7 linked regions of the Callithrix jacchus genome follow. The main gene of each other region encodes a partner of the protein of the gene in region 2 in a complex. Links are inferred from orthologs where the notes say so. Each region holds a gene or a part of one and is shown on either strand. Other genes may lie near its edges. The genes, in order: TMEM67, B9D1, TMEM107, TMEM231, CEP290, TMEM17 and AHI1.

The links.
Region 1: B9D1 (region 2) and TMEM67 share a complex: the UniProt entries of both Homo sapiens proteins name them as parts of the tectonic-like complex. The link is inferred for Callithrix jacchus from reciprocal best matches to the Homo sapiens genes B9D1 and TMEM67.
Region 3: B9D1 (region 2) and TMEM107 share a complex: the UniProt entries of both Homo sapiens proteins name them as parts of the tectonic-like complex. The link is inferred for Callithrix jacchus from reciprocal best matches to the Homo sapiens genes B9D1 and TMEM107.
Region 4: B9D1 (region 2) and TMEM231 share a complex: the UniProt entries of both Homo sapiens proteins name them as parts of the tectonic-like complex. The link is inferred for Callithrix jacchus from reciprocal best matches to the Homo sapiens genes B9D1 and TMEM231.
Region 5: B9D1 (region 2) and CEP290 share a complex: the UniProt entries of both Homo sapiens proteins name them as parts of the tectonic-like complex. The link is inferred for Callithrix jacchus from reciprocal best matches to the Homo sapiens genes B9D1 and CEP290.
Region 6: B9D1 (region 2) and TMEM17 share a complex: the UniProt entries of both Homo sapiens proteins name them as parts of the tectonic-like complex. The link is inferred for Callithrix jacchus from reciprocal best matches to the Homo sapiens genes B9D1 and TMEM17.
Region 7: B9D1 (region 2) and AHI1 share a complex: the UniProt entries of both Homo sapiens proteins name them as parts of the tectonic-like complex. The link is inferred for Callithrix jacchus from reciprocal best matches to the Homo sapiens genes B9D1 and AHI1.

Annotation. Positions count from the first base shown.
Region 1 is NC_133517.1:33,398,869-33,402,368, forward strand, and holds part of TMEM67 (meckelin), read right to left. Parts: intron 3,177-3,500; coding exon 3,090-3,176; intron 2,493-3,089; coding exon 2,427-2,492; intron 939-2,426; coding exon 782-938; intron 1-781. UniProt on the Homo sapiens protein: Required for ciliary structure and function. Part of the tectonic-like complex which is required for tissue-specific ciliogenesis and may regulate ciliary membrane composition.
Region 2 is NC_133506.1:83,255,613-83,259,112, reverse strand, and holds part of B9D1 (B9 domain-containing protein 1), read left to right. Parts: intron 1-1,653; coding exon 1,654-1,765; intron 1,766-3,500. UniProt on the Homo sapiens protein: Component of the tectonic-like complex, a complex localized at the transition zone of primary cilia and acting as a barrier that prevents diffusion of transmembrane proteins between the cilia and plasma membranes.
Region 3 is NC_133506.1:74,652,738-74,657,002, reverse strand, and holds TMEM107 (transmembrane protein 107), read left to right. Parts: upstream 1-1,465; 5' UTR 1,466-1,590; coding exon 1,591-1,677; intron 1,678-1,853; coding exon 1,854-1,921; intron 1,922-2,021; coding exon 2,022-2,122; intron 2,123-3,543; coding exon 3,544-3,640; intron 3,641-3,861; coding exon 3,862-3,931; 3' UTR 3,932-4,106; downstream 4,107-4,265. UniProt on the Homo sapiens protein: Plays a role in cilia formation and embryonic patterning. Requires for normal Sonic hedgehog (Shh) signaling in the neural tube and acts in combination with GLI2 and GLI3 to pattern ventral and intermediate neuronal cell types.
Region 4 is NC_133521.1:32,947,265-32,950,764, forward strand, and holds part of TMEM231 (transmembrane protein 231), read right to left. Parts: intron 532-3,500; coding exon 403-531; intron 74-402; coding exon 1-73. UniProt on the Homo sapiens protein: Transmembrane component of the tectonic-like complex, a complex localized at the transition zone of primary cilia and acting as a barrier that prevents diffusion of transmembrane proteins between the cilia and plasma membranes.
Region 5 is NC_133510.1:93,099,044-93,102,543, forward strand, and holds part of CEP290 (centrosomal protein of 290 kDa), read left to right. Parts: intron 1-272; coding exon 273-437; intron 438-1,401; coding exon 1,402-1,509; intron 1,510-1,753; coding exon 1,754-1,888; intron 1,889-3,387; coding exon 3,388-3,500. UniProt on the Homo sapiens protein: Involved in early and late steps in cilia formation. Its association with CCP110 is required for inhibition of primary cilia formation by CCP110.
Region 6 is NC_133515.1:51,607,283-51,611,379, reverse strand, and holds the start of TMEM17 (transmembrane protein 17), read right to left. Parts: upstream 2,801-4,097; 5' UTR 2,772-2,800; coding exon 2,672-2,771; intron 1-2,671. UniProt on the Homo sapiens protein: Transmembrane component of the tectonic-like complex, a complex localized at the transition zone of primary cilia and acting as a barrier that prevents diffusion of transmembrane proteins between the cilia and plasma membranes.
Region 7 is NC_133505.1:142,163,750-142,167,249, reverse strand, and holds part of AHI1 (jouberin), read left to right. Parts: intron 1-493; coding exon 494-612; intron 613-3,497; coding exon 3,498-3,500. UniProt on the Homo sapiens protein: Involved in vesicle trafficking and required for ciliogenesis, formation of primary non-motile cilium, and recruitment of RAB8A to the basal body of primary cilium.

The sequences.
Region 1 (3,500 bases), on a different chromosome or scaffold from region 2:
TTAGTTAGAATGGCTGCAAGAAGCTATTGGTATAAGAAACACCTGACAATGGCCTTCTCTTAACTCATGTGAATGTCTTCTTTTGTTTTTTTTAGATAGGGTCTCACTCTGTTGACCAGGCTGTAGCGCAGGAACATGATCATGGCTCACTGCATTCTCAATCTCCTGGGCTCAAGTGATCCTCCCAACTCAGCCTCCAGAGTAGCTGGGACTACAAACGGATGCCACCACACCAAGCTATTTTTTTTTAGCAACAGGTTTTCATTATGTTGCCTGGGTTGGTCTTGAACTCCTAGGCTCAAGCAATTTTCCCGCCTTGGCCTCCCAAAGTAATGGGATGACAGGTGTGAGCCACCACATCTTGGACTTGAATGTCTTCTGATTGTTTAAACTTTTCATAAATTTGGAAGGCTTTTCCCGCAAATTACCTGAAAATGCAGGATTTTATAACATGAATAACAACAAAAGAAACTAATTTGTCCAAAAAAGTATATTCAGGACAGCTTGAAGAAAAAGTCCCAATTTACGGTTCTACTAATGTTTCTCAGGATATACCCTTAGCAATAGTATAATTTCTTAACAATATGTCTGGCAATAAAATTAGTAAAAATTTCTAAATCCACCAGCAATTTATTGCTTTATTTTTGGCATGCTGTATGGAACCATATGAAAGAGGATTCATGACCTTTCTTATAATCAGTGGTTTATTAAATTATCATGTGGGTTAACTTATTGATTTATTTCTGCTCAGGGAAAGAGTGGTTATGTATGGATGTCTTACCTTGGTTCACAAACATCTTATTGTGCTGAAGATTTAGGTTTAACACAGGCACAGCCAAAATATATTGATGTTGATTTTCAACAGTATATTCAAGGTATACATCATAAAATATAGGAGTGGGAAAGTCAGTTAAGATCTTAGAGATGGGAATCTCACACTGAAAAGTAAGATTAGAAATAAAAGCATATAAAACAGCAACTTAAAGTACTAAAAAGTAAAATAAAAAGATAAAAGATCACAATTGAAAATTAGCAAGCACATTTATCATCTTCAGAGTGTTTTTCTAGTTTTGCAAAATATCTTTACACTACCTTGTCTATATGCATTTCCATTTGGCTTCCAAAGCATGAATACCGTAAATACGATTATTTTATAAGAACCAAAAACACCAACAGTAAAGAACTGCTTTGTTCTTGAGCCTCAACTTGGATGAAGAAGGTATGCCTTCATTCTCAATAAGTGTACATCCATGAAAAGGCTTAAAACTACCGTCCTGTGGGATAAAGTCCCATTTTTTTCTCCTGATGTACAATGATGTCTATGATCTGGCTTCCATTAACCAAGCCAGGCTTATCTCTCATTACTCCCTATCAGTCTGTGGTGGTCCATTCATACTAACCTACTTGCAGTTTCTGAATATGGCATGCTATTCTATGTCTCTCTGTCATTGCAAATGCTATTCTATGTCTTTCTGTCTGACATTTCCTTCTCCACTGTGTTCTCCTGGCAAACTCATATTCATTATATAAGCCCAATATCACTTACTTTGTGAAGCCTTTCTATAGTTCCCCAGAAATCAGTACCTTGTACATACCTATAGAATGACACTTACCACATTCTTTGCAATTCTTTGTCTATATAACTGTTCTGCCCACTAGGCTATGAACTACTTGAGAAATTAAAATGCTTTTTAAACCTGATGGAACATTGGTTCCACAGTTTATGTGACACAAGACTTTGAGTAAATTACCTAATTATTTGGCATTATTTCCTCATCTGTGAAGCACAGATATTATGTATCTCACATAGTTATTTTATAATAATAATGATAAAATGCTGAGCATACAGAGACAGGCATTGCATAGGTGTTGATCTTCCTGGCCTATGTTAGACGCACAATAACATTTATTTTAAAAACAACAACAGGGCTGGGTGTAGTGGCTCACGCCTGTAATCCCAGCACTTTGGGAGGCCGAGGCTGCTGGCTCACTTGAGGACAGGAGTTTGAGACCAGCCTGGTCAACATGGCAAAACCCTGTCTCTATGAAAAACACAAGAATTAGCCAGGTGTGGTGGTGCACGTCTATAGTTCCAGCTATTTGGGTGGTTGATGCACGAGAATTGCTTGAACCCAGGAGGCAGAGTTTGCAGTATGAGCCAATCTCACCACCGCACTCCAGCCTGGGTAACAGAGTGACACTGTCTCAAAAAACAAAACAAAACAAAAAACCATAGATAACAAGATGCTCTGTTTATGCCACTTAAGCTTTTCTGTACCAAGATAAAAAATTATATTAATTAGTGAAATTATTCATTACTATTAAAACATTTCCAATCTCAAAAATTTAAGTATTATTCCAATTACTGTTGATGTGATATTTTGAAAAATAAAGCTAAAATATAGACTAATATAGTTCAGACTTACATTTTGTTGATAGGTTGTTCCAAACGAATAAGCAGCATTGAGCCTTGTCTCTGTGTCTGGACAAAGCTACAGTAAAAGAATACAATAGATAAATATCTCTCACAAATATTTTCTATGCTTATACTCAAGAGTTCTCAAACCCAAAAATGTATATATGCTCTACATAACACTTATTTAACGTATTAAGGATATGAAAAGTTAAGGGAACATCTATTATAAATTAAAGTCATAACTTTAAAAAAAAAAAAGAGGCCGGGCATGGTGGCTCACGCCTGTAATCCAAGCACTTTGGAGGCCAAGGCGGGTGGATCACCTGAGATCGGGAGTTCAAGAGCAGCCTGACCAACATGGTGAAACCCCGTCTTTAAAAAATACAAACAAATGAATAAATAAAATTTAAAAAATAAAAAAAAAGAACAAGAAATTCTCGTTTAAACTACCAGGAAAAAAAAAAGTCAACTGTAGTATGTAACTGATGCTCTATTCATACAATAATCTAGTCTTTTCCTCTTGTCTTTGCCTCAGGCAAAATCTAGTCTATTTCTAGGAAAAGACTAGGAAATCTAGTTTTTTTCCTCTTGTCTTCTCAGGAAAAGCCTGAGGCAAAGAAAAGAGGGAATAAACAAGGCACATTATTAATTCTTTAACTAGCATTATGCTTACCTGTAAAACACCTCCTTCTAAAGTCTGCCACTTGAGAAAATTTCCTCTTATATCATAGGAAGCAGCAACAAACTTCAGTTTTGTATTCTAATTAAAGAAAACAAGAGCAAAATCAGGTCAAATACTCTGAAAGTAATACAATATCCTATAAAGAAATTTTCATTGTTGACTCATCTTTTTTGTTGAAAAATTTCATTCAATTACCTTTGTTTTCAGGCTTAATCTATTTTTATGACTAAACATACCTAAAAGAATTAGGCTGGTTTTTTGCATGAAAATTATTATTCTAGAATTGAGAGGCAGCACTAATGATAGATAAGCTCCTTTCGAATCTGTTAAATGGGAGGCAATGTGGGAGAATAGTGTCTGCTCAATCTGGAAGCTCAAAAAGTTAGAGGTGGGAATTTAGCC
Region 2 (3,500 bases):
GCAGGAAAGCAGCTGGAGATGGAGCAGGGAGGCACCAGGGTGGATCTTATAGGACTTAGAAGGTCAGAGTAAGGACTGTGACCTTTACTCAAAGGGATTGGGGTCCCCGTGGAGAGCTTTCAGCAGACAAGAAAGCGATCTGACTTGTGTTTTTAGAAGATTCCCTGGTTTCTATGACAAGGATAGACTTCAGGAAAGGGCAAGAGCAGGCAGCACAGTTGGCTTTGACAGCAATGCAATGAGAGAGGAGGGCAGCAGCGGTATGGTGGCGGGAGGGCTGGACTGCAAGTACACCCTGAAGATAAAGCCGCTGGGCTCTTCTGGTGGATGTGGGGTGTGAGAGAAGGAGGAGCTAGAATTCACAGCAGGGCTTTTAGCCTGAGCACTGAGAAGTAGGGAGCTGCCTTTCAGTGAGAAGAGCAGATTGGGGAGCGCTACCTGGAGCTCAGCCTGGTGTGGGTTAAGGTTGAGGCGCCCACTGGAGGAGGTGCTGATCCACAGTACAGAGGCAAGGACCAGGATGGAGACATAAATTTGGGAACCTTTGACATCTAGAGCACATCGAAAGCCATGAGACAGATGAGATCACCAAGTACAGGTAGAGGAGCTGGCCAAAGATGCAGCCTTAGGACGGCACACTGAGAAGGAACCAGCAAGAGCCACCAAGCAGGGCCACCCTGTGCAGTGGAGAGACCCAGAAGCCAACGGAAGACAGTGTATCAAGGAGGAAGCAACTGTATCAGGCGCTGCTGATGGCTCAAGTAACACAAGGACGGAGAAATGACTGTTTTGCATCTGGCAATGCTGATCATGGACATTGTTGGAGAAAACCCTTTGGTAGAGTGCTGGAGCCAGCAGTCACATTGGAGTGGGGTCACAGAAGAATAGCAGGGGAGGGGCCCGTGCAATGGCTCATGCCTGTAATCCCAGCACTTTGGGAGGCTGAGGAGGCAGATCATGAGGTCAGGAGTTTGAGACCAGCCTGACCAACATGGAGAAACACCATCTCTACTAAAAATACAAAAATTAGCTGGGCATGGCGTGCCTGTAATCCCAGCTACTCAGGAGGCTGAGGCAGAAGAATCACTTGAACCTGGGAGTGAGCCGAGATCACTTCACTGCCTTCCAGTCTGAGGCGACAGAGTGAGACTCTGTTTAAAAAGAAAAAAGAATGGTAGGGGAGAAATTGGATCTGGTGAGTGAGGCAGCTCTTGGAAGCAGTTTTGCTGTAACGGAAGCAGAGAATGGGTTGGTGGGTGGAAGAGGCAGCAGAGTTGAAAAAGGACTGTGTGATGGACAAAATACATCTATGTGCTTACCAATGGGGATGCTCGGATGCGGGTGGGGATGCAGGGGAGTGCAAATACTGCTGGACCATTTCCTTCCGTGTAGCAAGAGCTTGGGAACAGATCCCAGTGCCCTTGTGCCTGGGAGAGTGGCTGGCCTCCCAGGGTTGTCACACACACTACCACATTAAAGTACCACACTTAAGAGGTATTCCATCATCTCTTAGTCCCCTTTGTTTGAAATCTAGTGTCTTGGGAGAAGATAGCTGAGAAAACAGCCTTCCCAGCTGCCTGCTGAAGGTAAGGGAGGAGCCACAGCAGCTTGACTCTGATCTGACTCTAGCTGTCTCTGTCATTGTCCCCACAGGGTCTGGAAGAGGGGATCTCACAGATCACATCTAAGAGCCAAGATGTGCGGCAAGCACTGGTGTGGAACTTCCCCATTGATGTCACCTTTAAAAGCACCAACCCCTATGGCTGTGAGTCTGCAGGGGCCCTGCAGGGTAGGGTGGCAGAGCTTTCACACAGCACCCCCAAGACGGCCTTTGCCTCATCCAGCCCATGACTGTTCACATTCACATTGTCACCTGGGCTCTTGAAGCAGCCCTCAGCACTCTCTCTCTCACCATCTGTCCCTTTCCCTCCTCTTCCTCATCTGTGCTCACCCTGGTTCATCTGCTACAGCTGTGCAGCTGGCCTTCTGGAAGTTCAGAGTGGATCAGGGCCAGTGACCATGCCTGTAAAAGGCAGGCCCCTCCCTGGTATGCAGGGCTGCAGCTGTCTGGCCTGGAGGTCTGACTCCGTGCCTGTTGACTTCCCGTGGCCTGTTGTGTTCCGACCAGACCCTGGCACTTGCTCCTCCTGTGCTAGCCCCTCAAGTTCCTTCATCTGAGCTTCATTCATGCTGATCCCTCTCTCCAGATAGCCTTCCCATGTCCTACCTCCAACCTCTTTCCCAAGGGCTTCCTGGCTGGCATTACTTATTTTCTACCCTGCCTGGTGCTTATTAACCACGCTGATCTTCCACTTGCACTTAATAAGTGCCTACTGGCTTAGTCTCCATGGGACATTGAATACTTTCCCTATGTGAACTCATCTGAGCTTCCCAATCATACCTGGTAGGTAGATTTCTCTCCATTTCTTCTCCCATATGAGGAAACTGACACTCAAAACTGACTTCACTTGCCTTCTGCTTTACATCTACTGACCAGGTGTGGATTTTCATTCAGGCCCCTCTGATTTCACGATCTAGGCCTTTCTGCTGCATGTGGCCTGGGCCTAGGCTCACCACAGTGTTGAGGGTCAGGAGCAGAAAATGCCTGGTGGTCCTCTTGGGCAGGGAATTCCATTCTGCTGTCATCATCTATGAATAGGAAGCTGCAGTCGACTTCCTGTAATAGTGCAGTAAGTACTATAGGAACTCAGCCAACCTCCTCCTGCTGAAGACAGGTAGGAGAGGTAAATGAAATACACAAAGGCAAAAACAAAAAGCAACTACCTCAAAGGCATCAGAGAGCTAGTGAAGTAGAAGAGATTTACCAGGCAAGATCCAGGAGAAGAACAGAAATCCAGAGGTTACCCCCATCCCATCTCCCCTGGGAGTGTTTGCTGATTCCAATAGAGGTGATTGAGAGACTGATCAAGACTTTTGACAGCCTCTCTGGGCCCAGGACACACACAAAAAACTGATGTTCAGAGCCTTCCAAGGGGTTGGGAGGAGGGCCTCAGGTAAATCTCTGCAAACTGGGTTAAGACCCAAAGAGCTGCCCTAGGAATAAGGGAGAGATGGAAGCAAAGCAGCCTCACAGGGATTGTAGCCTGGCCCCTGATAATTTCAACCTCCTGATTTTTGCATTCAGCTCCAAGATTGTTACACCCAAGGCACCTGGCAAAAGCAAATAAGAAACCTCTTTTGGCTAGGCATGGTGGCTCATGTCTGTAATTCCAGCACATTGAGAGGCTGAGGCAGGCAGATCACCTAAGCTCAGGAGTTTAAGACCAGCCTGGGCAATATGGCAAAAATCCGTCTCTGCTAAAAATACAAAAATTAGCCTGGTGTGGTGGTGGGCACCTGTAAACCCAGCTACTTGGGGGGCTGAGACAGAAGGATTGCTTGAGCCCAGGAGGTCAACGCCACTGTACTCCAGCCTGGGTAACAAAGTGAGAACCTGTCTCAAAAAAATAAGAAAAGAAGCCTCTTTGGAAAAATATAAC
Region 3 (4,265 bases), about 8.6 Mb from region 2:
TTTTTTTTTTTTTTTTGAGACAGAGTCTCGCTCTGTCGCCCAGGCTGGAGTGCAGTGGCGCGATCTCGCCTCACTGCAACCTCCACCTCCAGGATTCAAGAAATTCTCCTGCCTCAGCCTCCCGAGTAGCTGGAATTACAGGTGCTCGCCATCATGCCCAGCTAATTTTTATATTTTTAGTAGAGACCGGTTTTCACCATGTTGATCAGGCTGGTCTAGAACTCCTGACCTCAGGTGATCTGCCCGCCTTGGCCTCCTAAAGTGCTGGGATTACGGCCATGAGCTACTGCGCCAAATTTTCTAAAATAAAGTTTAAGAACAAATGCCCCATTCTTTTTATAGAATTATAATTGTAGCGTTTCCCTTTTCATAGCATATAGTATCTTGCGGATTTGTTTGCATGTCTATTATTGATCTCCCTGACTAGAATCCACCTACTAGGTAATCAGTAAATACAAACAATATTTGAAGAAATGAGAAATGCCTCTTGGGCATATATTTAGACTGGCTAAAGGCACTGAGACGGGGAGTGAGGAAGAGGAAGCGGTTGTTCTCCGGGGAAATGAGCCGGGAGGACCCTTGAGAATGGGACTTGACAGCATTGCGAGAAGAAAGAGCTTTCCGATCAGCGGGGACCTGCGCTGAAACCCAAAGGTCATGAGGTTGCCGATGATAAGAGCTTCTTGGACTGTAGCTGGGTAATGTCGGAGGCCCAGCACCTCCAAGAGATAAAGAAATCTGATTTGAGTTTCCGTTCCAGTCAGCTCCAAGCCTCCCAGGGATGCAGGGACTGTCCATTCCCTCCATCCACTCCCACCCTTTCCGGTCCCCTTGCTCTGCCATTTTTTGCACTCTGCAAATCCCTCACCAAACTGAGCAAAGTTAGACTGAGAGAAATCAGTCTTCCTCAAGGAAAGTTCAGGCCTGGGGTCCTCAGACATCCAGGGGCTCCGTGACAATCTGTGACTGCTGAGCAGTCTAGGGACACCGCCTCTCCAAGTTCGGGACCCTTGTTTCTGAGGCCAGCTTGGTGGGAAGCTAAAGGCATACGGAGGAGGGGAAGGGGAGCGTGTCTGAGTCTTCGGCATGGCGGGGACCCGGACCTCAGCCCGGCATGGCGGTGGCGCGGCCTCAGGAGATCCACAATTGTCGGTGTAGAAGGGGCTGGGGGCCGCTCCCGGCAACTGCGGAAGCCGAGGTGCCCCCAGGCTAGCCCAGGTCGGTTTCCGTTCGTCGGTCCTGGGCGGGTAGATCGGGCGCTGCGGGGCCGTGCCACCTCGCACCCTCTCAGGAACAAAGGGCTTGGCTACGCGCGGATACCCAAACGTTGGGTTAGAATGGCATTCGGGGAAGCCCTGACCTGCGCAAGCCGGAAGAGGCCAGCAGCAGCTTGAGAATATACTGCTCTCGCGATGTTTTTCGAGAACGCGGCGCCGCGTTCGCGTACGGAGTTACCAAGGTAACTGGGCGGTGCCTGAGCGGGCGGGAAGGAGGCGTTCGTCTAGATTTTGTCCGCTTGCAGGGAGACTTCAGGAGTCGCTCTCTTTGAAATTCCGGCCTCTGAGACCGCCGCCCCTGTTTCCAAGGGCCATGGGCCGGGTCTCAGGGCTCGTACCTTCTCGCTTCCTGACGCTCCTGGCGCATCTGGTGGTCGTCATCACCTTATTCTGGTCCCGGGTAAGACCCACGGCTGACATCCGTCCGCCCCTATTCCCACCTCGGAGTGGTCCCAGCCCCATCTTGCCCCTCTCCCAGTGTCTTACCCACTTAGGTCTTCTCGTTCCCCGCCGCCCCCAGGCCTGCCTCGCCGCCCGTCCCTTTTTCACTTCTCTTCCTCTCTGCTCTGCTCCCAGGACAGCAACATCCAGGCCTGCCTGCCTCTCAGGTTCACCCCCGAGGAGTATGAAAAGCAGGACATTCAGTGAGCTCTCTCGGAATGGGCTGGTCAGAACGGAGAGGTGGTGGGAGTGGAGGGTTCTTAGAAGTCCAAGGGCCTGAGGCTGTCCACTTCCTTTCTGCAGGCTGGTGGCCGCGCTCTCTGTCACTCTGGGCCTCTTTGCAGTGGAGCTGGCCGGTTTCCTTCTAGGAGTCTCCATGTTCAACAGCACCCAGAGCCTCATCTGTATCCTTTCCTCCTGCTCACCTTTCCCACACGACCATTTCCATCAGGACTCCCTTCAGCCACCTGACACCATAGTGTCTGCTGTAACCAATCTCTCCAGTTCGGATATCTTCAAACATGTGCTAAATCCTGCTGTTTACTAGGCACTTAAAATCCCAAAATGAGAGTAAAACAGTTTTCGGCCAGGCACGTTGACTCATGTCTGTATTCCCAGCAGTGTGGGAGGCCCAGGCAGGAGGATTGCTTGAGGCATCATAGTGAGACCCTATGTCTACAAAAATAATAGTAATAATGAGAACTTCACCTTTTTTGTTTATCATGAGGAGGAGGCAGACACATATCTGTAATTCAGTGATAAGCAGGGTGCTATAGGAGTGTGTAAAGAGGGGTGGGCGCGGTGGCTCACGCCTTTATTTCAAGCAACTTTGGGAGGCCAGGACAGGTGGATCATTTGAAGTCATGAGTTTGAGACCAGCCTGACCAACATGGTGAAACACCATTCTCTACTAAAAATACAAAAATTAGCCGGGCGTGGTGACGGCACACCTGTAACCCCAGCTACTCAGGAGGCTGAGGCAGGAAAATTGCTTGAACCTGGGAGGCAGAAGTTGCAGTGAGCCGAGGTTGAGCCACTGCACTCTAGCCTGGGCAACAGAGTGAGACTCCGTCAAAAAACAAACAAGCGGGACACGGTGGCTCAAGCCTGTAATCCCAGCACTTTGGGAGGCCGAGGCAGGTGGATCACGAGGTCAAGAGATTGAGACCATCCTGGCCAACATGGTGAAACCCCGTCTCTACTAAAAATTCAAAAATTAGCTGGGCGTGGTGGCGTGTGCCTGTAGTCCCAGCTACTCAGGAGGCTGAGGCAGGAGAATTGCTTGAACCCGGGAGGCGGAGGTTGCAGTGAGCCGAGATTGTGCCACTGCACTCCAGCCTGGTGCCTGGTGACAAAGTGAGACTCTGTCTCAAACAAACAAACAAACAAACAAACAAACAAAAGGTAGAAAGCACAATGGGAACTCAGAAATGGCAAAGGAAATGAAGCACGTGGGTCAGAGAACTGTGAACCAGGAGTGCTAGAACCCTGGAGGCTGATTCCAGCAGAGCATATCAATTCGCTGTCAGCACTCCTGTGTGGCATGGTAGGAGAGCCTACTCTTACCTCTCATCTGAAGGGTCCAAGCTGGCCTCTAGATGTGGGGTAGGCTAGCCTGAGGTCCCATCTATGCAGTTACTTCTGGTCTCTCCTCATATGACCATCCTACAATTCAGAAGTCAGGGCTGCTGACTCTAGCCCTTGCAATATGGTGAGGGAGCAAGCGATGAACCTGAGTGCAGATGCCAACCCCACCACTGATGTTTTCTGATCCATCACTATCTGTCGATCCAAAGACTTTCCTTAACTGTGGTGCCTTCCCAAGCCATTGGGGCTCACTGTAGTGCATCCGTGGCCCTGTCCTTCTTCATATTTGAGCGTTGGGAGTGCACTACGTATTGGTACATTTTTTTCTTCTGCAGGTGTGGTAACACCCAATATTTGGGGATGAGGGAGGAAGGTTTACCCTAAATCTGAAAGTTTTCCCCCACCCGGTCCCTTCTTCCATGCATGAGATCCTGTAGTCTTTTTCATCCCCCATCCCCATGCCACCTGCCCTATACTTTCAGGGGTGGGGTCTCTAGTTTGGAGATTTGCATATTTATATTGAAAGGATTTCTGAATCTACCACCTGCTTCGGTAGTGCCCTTCCAGCTGTCACTGAAATGGCTTTATTCATCGCCATCTTTGGGCTGAAAAAGAAACCTTTCTGATCACCTTCCTGATGGTCGAAGGCTACATGGGAGGCCGCTTCGTATTCCTGGAAGAAGAAAGGCATAGGCTTCAGTCTTCCCCTTGGAAACTGCTTCTGCTAGAGGATATGTGTTGGATGTATGGGATTATCAGCATTGTATTTAGTGTTTTGTAATAAAATATGTTTTGTAGTAAGATCAAGAGTTATATAGTTTTCAGGGGACAATTGGGATGGCTTAACTATTGAAGAAAAAAACAACTACGCTGTTTTCTAGTCCTGCAGACCGTAAGATACTTGATATCGCTTCTATTTTGGTTATTACGGTAGACGTCTGGGGGAAGGAAGTGGGCGGG
Region 4 (3,500 bases), on a different chromosome or scaffold from region 2:
ATAACTGGGATCCAGGGATAGCAAAGGAGGACTGAAGAAATGCCATGCTCTGCATCACGAAGGTTGACATCCTCTGAAATCATTAGAAAAACAAACAATACCAACCGCTGTCAGATCTGAAGGGCTCTGGGTCTAACAGTCAGCTGTCTTGGCTGAAACCTAAGGGACTCTCACGCACCCAGCACAGTCATGCAGGAAACACTGCCTAGAACCTTCTGAGCTATTAGTAGCCCATATTAATTAATATGACTCCAGTGAAAAACATTCAGCTGGCCTAAGCGATCCCAAACTACATGGGGAAGAGGACCTGCTACGGTATGGGTCTTCTAGAAATCAGAAGAAGGGCTCTGGTCTATGAAAAAGACACAAGAGAGAGGACGGCCTCCCAGCGGACTGACTCACGTGTAACTGATAGGAGAAAGTCAGGATGAGCTGCACACCGAGAACGTGCTCCGTGGACTGCAGGGGAAGCTCCAGCTTAAAATGTAACATGTCCATCTTCCCATCCTGGTTCCTGTCTTCTTCTCTAGTCTAGGACACCCAAACAGGGCCAGCAGCCCTGGTCACTAATGAGTCTGGGAGGAATCCACATCACTTCTATACATACACAATGACCCACGGTCCTGCTGTACACAACAGGCATTATCTCCCCCACCCCCCAAAAAAAGAGAAAAATAGACAGGGGTAAGCGCATTAATATTGGGGAAAGAGATACAAAGTGCATGGCCCCTGAACTTCCTATGTGAGTCTCTCAAATGTTCACTGGCCAAAATAAATGGGCAATAACAGAAACATCTGGATAGCATTTGTGCGTTTCAGTTGCATCACTTGATCTTGTTTTACACTGGTATTTTTGTGCGTGTGTGAGGTAGAGTATCTATCACTCTTGTCACCCATTTTGGAGTGCAGTGGGCGTAATCTCGGCTCACTGCAACCTCTGCCTCCTGGGCTCAAGTGATTTTCCTGCCTGAGCATCTCAAGTGCGCACCACCGCACCCTGCAAATTTCTATATTTTTAGTAGAGACAAGGCTTCACTGTTTTGGCCAGGGTGGTCTCGACCTCTTGACCTCGTGATCCACCCACCTTGGCCTCTCAAACTGCTGGAATTACGGGCATGAGCCACTGCACCCAGCCTACACTGGTATCTTTTTCTTTTTTATAAACATGCCTGGATTTCTAGGGAAATTTTAAGTAGCACGTCAGAATCGTCTTCTACGCCTCTAGAAGTCAGCTCGTTAAAATACGAAAACGCCTAATCGTGATGGGGGAGCTGCCAAGATGGCCGAGAGGACGCAACTCCGGAGTGCAGCTTGCAGCGAGTGAGAGGCAGAGGGGCTAGAGGACTCCACGATTGGAAGCAAGGTGCCGGGTTAGTTTCAGTGGGACTGGTAGGACAGATAAAATAGACCAGGGAAGGTGAGCCGAAGCAAGGCGAGAGCAGCCCAGGGAGGGCGAAATGAGATAGGGCGGGTGTGTCTTCATCCGGAAAGTGAAGCTGGCTCGGAGAGCCAGGAACTTCAGCCCCTCTGCGCTCCAATTCGGATCCTGTGCTACCCTCATCCCTCCTGCTACCCATGGTCCACGAGAGTCCTGCTTGACTGAGGGGCGCTGCAGGTTTTCGTTCTATGCGAATTTGAGCGACAGGCTGCGGCCTGCCTGGTAGGTACCTGGGTGGAAGTTTGGACTAATGCCAGCAGGACCAAACTACCCATCCCACAGAAAAAGGCAGAGTTGAAAGTAGGGGAACAGGACATAAGGCCTGGCAGGTCCCACCCCCACAAAACCCAACAAACTGAAGCTTGGCACGCTAGAGTGTTGAAAGGAATACACCAGTTTGACTCTGACAGGGAAGATTGAGCACAGGGAAGGAAAGATGCCCTCCCATTGGGAAGGCGGGGCTAACCTCACCTGCATAAACAAACTCCTGGGGAAGAACTCCCAGCAGTCTGACTGAATGCAAGGCAGCCCAGCAGCGCCTCTACAGGCAAAACAATAACAACAACAACAAAACCTCATATAGGAGATACAGCTCCAACTTAGCAGAAAGGACGACCACTCAGAGATTCCTCCCGAAATCACCAACTTCAAAGATCAAAAGGAGATAAATCCATGAAGATGGGAAGAAACCAGCGCAAAACGAATGAATACATCAAAGATCAGAACACCTCTTCTCCTCCTAGGGACCACAACTCCTCACCATCAAGGGAACAAAACAAGATAGGGAATGAGTTTGATGAATTGACAGAAGCAGGCTTTAGAAGGTGGGTAATAACAAACTTCTTTGAGTTAAAAGACCATGTCCTAACCCAATGCAAAGAAACCCAAAACCTCAAAAAAAGGTTAGACAAAATGTTAACTAGAACAACCAGCTTAGAGAAGAACATAAATGACTTGATGGAGCTGAAAAATGCAGCATGAGAACTTCGTGAGGCAAACACAAGTTTAAACAGCCAAACTGATCAAGCAGAAGAAAGCATATCAGAGATTGAAGATCAAATAAATGAAATAAAACAAGAAGCCAAGATTAGAGAGAAAAGAGTGAAAAGAAATGAACAAAGCCTCCAAGAACTATGGGATTATGTGAAAAGACCTAATCTACACTTGATCAGTGTACCTGAATGTGACAGGGAGAATGAATCCAAAACTGGAAAACACTCTTCAGGATATTATCCAGGAGAACTTCCCCAGCCTACCAAGGCAGTCCAACATTCAAATCCAGGAAATACAGACACCATCACAAAGATGCACCTCAAGAAGAGCAACCCCAAAGCACATAATTATCAGATTCACCAGGGTTGAAAAGAAAGAAAAAGTCCTAAGGGCAGCCAGAGAGAAAGGTCAAGTTGCTCACAAAGGAAAGCCCATCAGACTCACAGCAGATCTCTTAGCAAAACCCTACAAGCTAGAAAGGAGTGGGGGCCAATATTCAACATCCCTAAAGAAAAGAACTTTCAACCCAGAATTTCATATCCGGCCAAACAAAGCTTCATAGGTGAAGGAGAAATAAAATCCTTTATGGACAAGCAATCTCTGAGAGACTCCATCACCAACAGAGCTCCTTATAAGAGTTCCTGAAGGAAGCACTAAACATGGAAAGGAACAACCAGTACCAGCCACTGTGGTAAAGAGCATTGACACAATGAAGAAACTGCATCCACTAACGAGCAAAACAACCAGCCAGTAACAAAATGGCAGGATCAACTTCAAACATAACAATATTAACATTGAATGTAAATGGCCTAAATGCCCTAATCAAAAGACACAGACTGGCAAACTGGATAAAAAGTTAAGACCCATCAGCGTGCTGTATTCAGGAGACCTATCTCATGTGCAAAAACTCACATAGACTCAAAATGGGATGGAAGATTTACCAAGCAAATGGAGAGGGGGGAAAAAAGCGGGGGTAGCAATCCTACTCTCTGATAAAATAGGCTTTAAACCAACAAAGATCAAAAGAGACAAAGAAGGGCATTACATAATGGTAAAAGGATCAATGAAA
Region 5 (3,500 bases), on a different chromosome or scaffold from region 2:
ATAAACATATAACAAATGAAAAAAATGAAAGTGAATGTTAGTAATGTCCATTCCAATATAATTTGAAGATTTTATTGTAAGTTCCCACAGTTGTAGAAAAGTCAATGGAAATCCTAAATAAAAATTTGTCATGTGGCTTGAGAAAAGATAACATTGTGTCTTATTTTACTTTAGAATGACCATTACTTTCAACTAAAATCATTATGATCAATAAAGTAATATTGTTTGTTGATATGGCATTTATATTTGTATATATAAATTGTAAATCTTAGGTAATCAACTGGCATATGAAAATAGAAGAACTTCGTCTTCAAGAGCTTAAACTAAATCGAGAATTAGTCAAAGATAAAGAAGAAATAAAATATTTAAATAATATAATTTCTGAATATGAACATACAATCAGCAATCTTGAAGAAGAAATTGTGCAACAGAACAAGGTTTTATATTTGTTTTGTATTTTCTAAGATTTTAGATAAGAATATTGCACAAATGACTATGTTATTCTAATTGAATTCAGCTTTTATTACTAATTGATTACATAATAATTTTTTCTTATTTTTTCAACTATTCTGAAAATTTATATTTAGTTTTTATAACATTAGTCTTAAAAAGGGCAATATATAGACAACCTCATTGATAAGTTAATTTTTATTTTGAGATTGGTTATTTGACTTTTCACAGTTCCAGGTTTCTACTGGCTCTCACTGACAGAGTAAGAAGGCAGCTTGTTATAGAATAAAGTGTGCGCTACAGAGACAGATGAAATTCATCAGACATATGACTGTCTCAGAGATTGTTCCCTCTGCTTAAATTGTTCTTACCATAAATACCCGTGGTGTTTACACTTTCAGTGCCTGCAGGTCTTAGCTCATATGTCTTATCTTATCAGTGCATCCATCACCAGCCACCTAAGATACAACCGTAAATTCTACTGTCAAGATTCCCTAAATAGAGATTATCTTAATTTTTCTCCATAGCACTTGTAACCTTCAGGTATATTACATACTTACTTGTTTATTATTGACTGTCTCTCCTTCACCAGAATGTAAGTTCCATGGTGACATGGACTTGGTTTTGTTTACCGCTGTGTTTGTACTGCCTAGAATGATGCTTTGCACACAATATATATAATTAAATATATTTTGGATGGATGGATGGATGGATGGATAGAGAGATTTAAATTACATCTGCCTTTCTGCCTTTCTTACTTCACATGTGCCTTTCTCTGTGATCTTACACAAGTTACGTCACCTCTCTGAGTTTATATTATTTTTCATAAAAGGAAAATAATTACAGTTTCATCAATGTGTTGTGAGGATTAGTTAAGAAAAAATATATGAAATGCTTGTTATGTGCCTGATGTCTTTGTGTATGTGTCTGACACAAATTGTCTTTTGTTAGTTTCATGAAGAAAGACAAATGGCTTGGGATCAAAGAGAAGTTGACCTGGAACGTCAACTAGACATTTTTGATCGTCAGCAAAATGAAATACTAAATGCAGCACAAAAGGTATGAATGATTAATCTTGTTTGCTATTCTGTAGCATGGCCTAGAGTGTTAATTCACAGAAATATTTCCTGTATCAGATATAATTTTAACTGATGTTATATTTGTATATATTAATTGATCTTATATTTGTATATTTAAAATATGAGGGGTTTAATCTATGTTTTATCATAAAGCCGTAAAAGTTAATATTGTTATTTTCAATGCTGTAACTGCTTTTTTAAGAAAACATACTATTTGTTAATAGTTTGAAGAAGCTACAGGATCAATCCCTGACCCTAGTTTGCCCCTTCCAAATCAACTTGAGATTGCTTTAAGAAAAATTAAGGAGAACATTCGGATAATCCTAGAAACACAGGCAACTTGCAAATCACTTGAAGAGGTAATTAGAAAAAATTGCATTTTGATTCGTGTATTCTTTGGAATGTTTGTGGGGGGTGTTAAATAATGTTTCTTTATGAGGATGATGCATAGAATGATGAATCTGTTGCTAATTTCACTCTTTTTCTGTTCTCCTTTAATGCTTCTAACAACTGATAATGAATAGCAGATATGGTTAATTTGAATTCACTGTTTGTTTTTTTTTTTTTTTGAGACGGAGTTTTGCTCTTGTTACCCAGGCTGGAGTGCAATGGCGTGATTTCAGCTCACTGCAACCTCCGTCTCCTGTGTTCAGGCAATTCTCCAGCCTCAGTCTCCTTAGTAGCTGGGGTTACAGGCACACGCCACCATGCACAGCTAATTTTTTGTATTTTTAGTAGAGACGGGGTTTCACCATGTTGTCCAAGATGGTCTCGATCTCTTGACCTCATGATCCACCCGCCTCGGCCTCCCACAGTGCTGGGATTACAGGCGTGAGCCACTGCTCCCGGCCCTGAATTCACTATTTAGTTATAACTTGTTACCTTTAGGTTCACTGATCAGCACTAGCGTGAAAGGAAAAAAAAGCATTTAATTGTAGCTTTATGAACCATATATTATTTTCCTTTATATGATCTTTCCTTATTTTTTTGGTTTTATTTTGAAGTACATGTTACATAATCTATTAATCCATTTTCAGTTCATTCCTTTTTATGCATGGCTAAAGGGTTGAAGGTAAATTAGAAATTATTTTCTGTTTTAATCTAGATCTTGACTTTGGTTAGTAGGTGATCAAATCTGTCATCTTTATTAAATTATTTTGAAAATAATTAAAAATATGATTTTCATGTTAGTTTCCATATAAATATATTAACCCCAAATACACTTAAAAATATATGTAAAGGAGTTTTTCAAGTAAAATTGTACATTTTTAATCAGTTCAGGAAACTTAGATTTTCCTCAGTAATTGTAAGATTTGTCATTTATGTGAATTGCCACTGAATCACTTAATTTAAAATACCTTAATCCTCTTGAAGAGTAAAAATTTTTCTAGTTTTTTTTTTTCTGTTTTGTTTTAATAAAGTGCAGGTTTTATAATACTAATTTCTTGACTTGGGCCACTAAAATTCCAGTTTTGTACTTCACTGACTTTAGATTAGTCTTCTAATGCTCTGCTAGTCAATGGACCAAAATAAAGGAAATAATTTATTACATATTCTTCCTAAATCTAGCACAACCACACATTTGTAGTTCTAAACTGTAATATCTCAATAAAGTACATTAATTAAATTTTATTTTTGTTGTAACAGTGAAGTTTCTAACATATGTAATACTCTTATAAACTATGTAAATAAATGTTGTCAATTAGAAATAGTTTAACCTTATTAAGTATCAAATGGCTATTGTACATATGATGAGAAAAATAAAGTGAATTTTTTTTTGCTAATAACCTAAAATTCAGATGAAGTATTTAAAGGAAAAAATATGCTTTACTGATTTATTGTGATTTAATCATTGCAGAAGCTAAAAGAGAAAGAATCTGCTTTAAGGTTAGCAGAACAAAATATACTGTCAAGAGACAAAGTAATCAATGAACTGAGGCTTCGATTGCCTGCCACTGCAGAAAGAGAAAA
Region 6 (4,097 bases), on a different chromosome or scaffold from region 2:
TCTTCTACTTATCTACGGGCTCACTGCAAGCACAGACCATGTATTACCCTAATCTGGGAACCTCAGAATCTAGCATCTTGCTTTACACACAGTGAATATCAAATACACATAAGCAACATAAGCAGAAAGAATGAATTAATGAAAGCATACTGTCATAAGGACATTACTAGTATAACCATTTGTGATACATGAGTTCCATTTACCTAAGGTTTATTCCATAACACTTTTTGCTTTTATGTAAGAGAAGGGTCTTAAATTAAGAATTTGATTTTTAAAATTGAGCCCTATACAATACATCCTAAGTTTAACTAAATTCTTAAGAGCAGATACATATACTGAAATCAGTTGCTCTACACGTAACATTTTAAAGGCTCTAAAATAAATTTCTTTAAAACAGTATTTTTCCCTTGTCTCCATAGCTGAGTGTTTTTATCGGTCATTTAAAATATAAGAAATAATCATGGTCTCTCAAAGCAAAAGTTTCCTTTAGCTCCAAGAATATGCCTGATTATTATGACCTACTTTTGCTTACATCCGTTTATTAAATTACCACTGGTAAAGGAGTGAACTCTTAAAAATCTGTTAAATTTGGCCAGGCATGGTGGCTCATGCCTATAATCCCAGCACTTTGGGAGGCTGAGGCGGGAAGATCGTGAAGTCAAGAGATGAGACCATGCTGACCAACATGGGGAAACCCTGTCTCTATGGGGGTAATTTTGTAAAAATACAAAAATTAGCTGTGCATGGTGGCACACACCTGTAGTCCCAGCTACCCGAGAGGCTGAGGTGGGAGAATTGCTTGAGCGCGGGAGGCGGAGGTTACAATGAGCCGATATCTGGCCACCGCACCCCAGCCTGGGCGACAGAGCATGACTCCATCTCAAAAAAAAACCCAAAAAAAAAAAACCTTAAATTTGAAGACAACTCACCAGCCTAGGATCTTTTTCATAGCAACAGCACAATGCTGTGGACATGGTAATGATAGGAACTTGTTATTACAGCACAAAGAATCAGATCCACAAAGAAGAAAATGTGGGAAAGAATAATAAATTGGGCAAGCTGAACATTTCAGTACCTTTGAGAAGAAACTGTAGTCAAATTTTGCGAAGAATGGTTTTTATGTTAGAAGTATTGTGTGTTAATATCTTAAAGGTTATGCTATGTCCCTATTTCAGCAGATCAAAGTTATAATCATGGAAATGAAAATCAAGTTAATATGTAAATGAAACTTAAAAGCATAAGATAAATTTACTAAAGTTTGCAAAAGTTCAAGTTGAGTTCTGTAAATGGAATTTAAATTAAAACATACAATATAAATCAGGGATGATAAACTACTGGCCAGATGCCTGTTTTTGTATAGTTGATGAGATAAAAATGTTTTTTCATATGTTTAAATGGTTAATAAAAGAAATATTTTTTTCACACGAGAAATCCATATAAAATACAAATTTCAGGGTCCATAAAGTTTTATTGGAACACAGCCATGCCTATTCAATAACTATTATCAATGGCTGCTGTGGAGACCATATGGCCTACAAAGTCTAAAATATTTACTATCGGGCCCTTTTCAGAAAACGTCCGTTTTTACCTTCTATTATCAGATGTTAGTGCTCATTAAGCCTCATCCTTGGAACCAGAAACATCAAAACTTAATTTTTTCCCGTTTTTCTCTGTATATCCTAAATGACAAAGGCCTACATTTGGGGAATAGGCAAGTGATCAAGGTGACAAAATGCAGCTATAGGAACTGACTTTACTTTTCTCTGTCCCTTTTTAAAATTTGCTAAAACCAAGCAGAGGAAAAGATTTCCATTTCCCAGCAGAGCTGAATGATGAAAACCACATGGGTTTGGTTGACAGTGTGTTGTCTACCATCATGATGTAGGAGAAGGAAACTGTTTTGGAGGAAATTGCGTTATCACTTGTCATCAGGTTGAAGGATGCAGAAGCATCGTGGTATTTTGTTACCTTATGGTAAGAGTTACATATAGGGGAGGTGGAGAAGGCAGGGAAGAGGTGAGTTTTGTTGAACAGACAGCCAGTATGGCACATGCCAGTTGAGAGTGAATGGTGGTTTGAAAGGACTCATTAAAAATTTTGTTGTTGTTGTTGTTGTTTCAAAATTTCTTCTACCAGCAAATGGCCTTGAGGAGGAACATACTTTTCTGCTAGGAAAAGAGAAAAGGCAAATGTGTTCCCTGGGACGGGGGTGGTGGGATTGCTTGGGCTGCTCCCCGCCATCCTGCCCAGAAAAGCCCGGGCGGGCGAAGCCGAGAAAAAGCAACTTGGGCTTTTGCCCTCATGGCGCGCGCGGGACCAGCCTGTGCAGCAAACGGCTTTTATCTTTTTATTTTTGGGGTTTCTCTGGAGCAATGATGGGCCTCGCCTAGCACAGAGGTTGGCCCCACCTCAGCTGCCTCTCTCATAAAGAGCCGGCTGGGCTGCGGCGGCACGCGCAGACCAGGCCCGGCCCTGGGTTATCCGCCCATAGGCGGCCCGCGCCTCAGCTCCCCGCTCGACCCGGCCCCTCCTCCAAGGCGCTAACTAAGACTGCGGAGAGCTAGCTGAAGGCGACGTCGCCATTTTAGGTCTGGGCAAATTCTGGAGGCTCCAAAACCCACGCTAAGCCCTTGGCGGGCCACACCCGGTGCGCCGGGCCTAGTCCACTCACCGGGACCCTCATTGTACTCCGGCCCAGTCCGATTGGAATCACTGAACACGGCCCGGCTGAAGGTTCCCAGCCGCTGGCGTACCGGATCCGGCAGGTCCATGTCTGGGCCTCACTATCCCTCGCCCCCTTAGACAGAGGCTGGTCTGTGGGCGCAGTCGCGCTCCGTGGTTCCCACGGCAACCGGGCGGGGCGGAGGCGGCGGGACCCGGGAGCGCGCTGGGCTGCCTGGCTAGGCTGGGTCTCGTCGGGAGCCTGCGCACCTGGAAGGGACCGGCTTGCCTTGGGCGAGTTCCAGGCCCCGGGAGCTGCGTGCCTTGGCCGTGTCCAAAACGGCAGATCCCTTATTCCTGCTTTGAGCCCTATCACCGTAAAAACAAACCTATACTAAGAAATGGGCTGGGGTTGGACTGCGATACAAGGACCCCTCACATCTTGCCAGTGGAACTACAAATCTCTGCAACCTTTCTGGAGGGAAATAGAGAATGAATGCAGAACTTAAAGAATGTCTAGAGGTGTACGTGTGTGCGTGTGTGTGAGAGAGATACTGTGACTGATTATCGGAAAATGCAGCAACGGGCAACTGATGAAATGTACTGGAGCATATGCATTCAATGGAGTATGTTTCAGCTGCTTATAAAATGCTGGCAAAGAATATTGAATGATACGGTTTATGTAAAAATTTAAAAAGCAGAAATAAAACTAAATGAGAATGAACCTAATTTAGCAAAATTTATGTGTGTAAATATGGGTGGAGGAAAGGAGGGAGTGTGTGCACACTGGTTTGAAAAAAATGGAAAAAATCTAAAATGTTAACTAGTTATCACTGGCTAGTAGGATTGTGGATGATTTAAAAATTGTTAAACATGTCTATATTTTCTAGCTTTCTCTCAAATAAGATATATTACTTAAAAAATTTTAAGTGCAATATACATACATAAAAATTGTATACTTTTTTAGTAATAAAGATATATTACTAAAAAAAAAACTAAGTGTAATATACATACATACACAAACTGAATCTACATGTTCAACCAGCACCCTGTTCAAGAAACAATCTTACAGTATCCCCAGAAACTCCCTCTTCCCTTTCAGTCACTAAACTCCTTCCCTACTCCTAACTGACCTTTCCTGAATTCTAACAGCAAAGGAGAGTTTTGCCTTTTTTTTTTTTTTTTTTTTTTGAGACAGTCTTGCTTTGTCGTCCAGACTGGAGTGCAATGGCGTGATCTTGGCTCACTGCAATCTCCTTCTCTCGGTGCAAGCAATCTTGGCTTACTGCAACCTCCACCTCCCAGGTTCAAGCGATTCTCCGCCTTAGCCTCCCAAGTAGTTGGGATTACAGGCACCTGCCACCACGCCCGGCTAATTTTTGTCTGTTTAGTAGCGATGGGGTTTTGCCATGTTAGTCAGGCTGGTCTCGAACTCC
Region 7 (3,500 bases), on a different chromosome or scaffold from region 2:
GAACTGCAGTTAAATCTGTCGAGTCTGTCAGATCTGTTTAAAAACAGTCCCTTCTGTTTTTAGAAATTCTTATCTAAATAAGAATAGAATCTTGAAAATTAATTGTACATGTGGTTTTGGATGTATAAAAATTGGAAGCTTCCTTATGTGATTTTAAACAAAAAAATTAATGTTAGAAGATGAGTTTGTTGGAAGTGCTTCTTGTTTGGGACTGACTAAATTTGAGGAAAGTAAACATAGTACAAAAACTAATTAAATTAGTTTAATTAGTTTAATGCCACATACTAATTAAATGTGGCGTTCCATAATAGAAATACAGTTCATGAGCTTTATTTTGAACCTAAACTGAAGTTACTCAGAATCCTTTTGCTAACAATTATAAAGCATCCTATACAGCAGAATTGGAAATGATATTTTAAAATTAATTTTGTACCTGAAAAAAAGCTTAACATTAGACAAACTTTTCATTAGTAGTATTTTTTTATCATTTTAGGAAATTAAAGAAACTGAGTTTAAGGGGGTTCCAATTAGTTATCTGGAGGTTCATCCCAATGGAAAACGTTTGTTAATCCATACCAAAGACAGTACTTTGAGAATTATGGATCTTCGGATGTAAGTATATTTCAGTATTGACAGGCTAAGTACTCACAGAATAAGTAATGAATTAAATTATATTTATAAAACATGGTAGTGGTTCTCAACTAGGCAGTGTCCCCACACTCACCAGGGAACATCTGGCAGTAGCTGGAGATTTTTTTTTATGTTACTTCTAGTATCTAATGAGTAGAGATAAAAAATACTGCTAAGCATCCTACAGACCATAGGACAGCTTCCCTACAACAGTTATCCAGCCCAAAATGTGAATAGTTCTGAGGCTGAAATGTAGTTAGTTGCTTTTGTTTTCACAATTTAAAAAAAAAAAAAAGGAAGTTTCTGTCTTCTACAATGATACTGACTGATACTGATATCACTATGATACTGTTATAGCATTAGTATAATATGTTACAACTGAAGGAGAGGGTTTTGATTTATACATCTGTGTTTTTTTCTTTATTTCCAAATAATGGTGAATGTAGGGAAATATCCTTACTGTAAAAGGCAAAAGCAATGCTGGGAAGTCAGCATGGACTTCTAGTACACTTTTGTTGTGGTGTTAAGAGTTTCTGTAAAATAAATGAGAGAAAGCTATTTTATTAATGTCTTTCTAGTATTTAGAAAGGCAAATGTAATTTATTTTAGTTTAATTTTGTATCTTTTTAGGGTTAACTCTTATACCCTTCAATATTTATGTAAAACACTTCAAGGAACTGTCCTGGATGCTGTGGGAGAATAAGCAAAATTAAACCATTTGTTTATAATCCAGTTGTGTACCTTCAAAATAAAACCAAAAAACTTTTAATTAAGCTAAAATGTGAGACCTTCTAGGACTGGAAGCTACTTTTTTTTCCCCCCCTGTATGTAGCATCTATGCTGTGCCTGGCAGCTAGCAAGTGTTCAATATGTATTTTAATGAATATAAATTTGTAATAAAAGGACTTTATTCTTCATAGCAGCAATAGAGCTGACAACTATAATATAGTCTTCTGTTAAAAGCTCTATTGAGCAGCTGCCATTTAAGCTCAGTCTTGAAGGATGGGTAGAATTTCGACAAGATAAAATATTTCAGTAGAATAGAAAACAAAATAAAGTTCAGAAGTGAAATAATAGGCGTTTAAAGCAGAGTGAGTTAGTCTGTATGAGCATAGGTTCTTGGCAAGGAATACTGAGAGAGAATTTTAAGCAGTATAGTTTACAGCTTAATATCATGCTTGGGCTCTGCAGGACATACTACTTAGAGTTAAATACTGCCTTCTCTACCCCTTTACTAGCTGATCAATCTCTCCATGTGCCTCTTTTCTTATCTCTCAAATGAGAGAAATAATACACCATACACATAAGGGTTTTGATGGGGAATAAGCAACTTAATACATGTAAAGTATTTAAAACAGTAAAGCACATAGCAAGGACCCTAGAAAAGTTAGACCCAGTAACTCCAGATCTGGAAATTTATGTTAAGAAAATAATTATACAAGAACAGAAAATGAAACACCGCATATTCTCACTCATAGGTGGGTGATGAAAAATGAGAACACATGGACACAGAAAGGGGAGTACTAAACACTGGGGGTCTATTGGGGGGAAAAGGGGAGGGCCAGTGGGAGGGGGAGGTGGGGAGGGATAGCCTGGGGAGAAATGCCAAATGTGGGTGAAGGGGAGAAGAAAAGAAAGCACACTGCCATGTGTGTACCTACGCAACTGTCTTGCATGCTCTGCTCATGTACCCCAAAACCTATAATCCAATAAAAAATTAAAAAAAAGAAAGAAAATAATTATAAAACAGTACAAATGCTGTAATATGTATATACACACAAGATTATTTATAGAAATTGTGTTCATGGTAAGGGAAAGCTGGAAACATTCTAATGTCATCCAACAATAGATTTAATGTACCCATTAAAATGTTTATGTATAATCTATATTTTCTGACACGAAGGTCCATTATGACTTATTTTTGAGTGAAAACAGCAGATTACAGAGCAGTGTATCTAATATTCTCTCTGTAAATCAGGGACAATAATAGTACCTACCTGGCACAAAGTATGTGCTGAAATGGTGGTAACTATTATTTCATGAGTGAAAAAATATGAAGGCTTTGTACTATATTTAGTAGATGATTTAATATGTTTTATCTAATTATTTTCACAGATCAAATATTCCTTTTATTGTTTTAAAAATTCATCAGGTGGAAGAAACTATGAGTAAAAAAATTATTATTATTATTATTATTATTATTATTTGAGACAGAGTCTTGCTCTGTCACCCAGGCTGGAGTGCAGTGGCACGATCTCAGCTTACTGCTACCTTAACCTATTGGGTTCAAGTGATACTCCTGCCTCAGCCTCTGGAGTAGCGGGGACTACAGGCATGCGCTACCACACCCAGCTAATTTTTTGTATTTTTAGAAACGAGGTTTCACCATGTTAGCCACAATGGTCTCAATCTCCTGATCTCGTGATCCGCGCACTTCAGCCTCCCAAAGTACTGGGATTAGAGGCATCAGCCACTGCACCCAGCGAGTATAAAAATTCTATCCATTTTTTAGTAACCAGCTCAAATGCTACTTCCATAAAGTAGTCTCTCTCCATAGTTAAAATTAATTTCTTTTATCCAAGTTTGAAAAGAACTCTTCTGTTTTTCTTTTGTAGTACTTTGTACGTCCACCTTCTATTTTACGTTGACATGTTTCTTCTCTCCTGCTAAATGATAAACTCCCTGGGCTCCAGGGATTAGCTCTTGTTTATTCTGTATCCATCATATTATAGAATGTCTCCCATATGACAGATTCTCAAAAAAATGTTTGTTGAATAGAAATTAAGTATTTAAGAGAAAAAATTTTCTACCACCATTCATTTACATGGTTAAGACAGTTAAATTTGTAAAATCTTTTTTGCTTATAGATT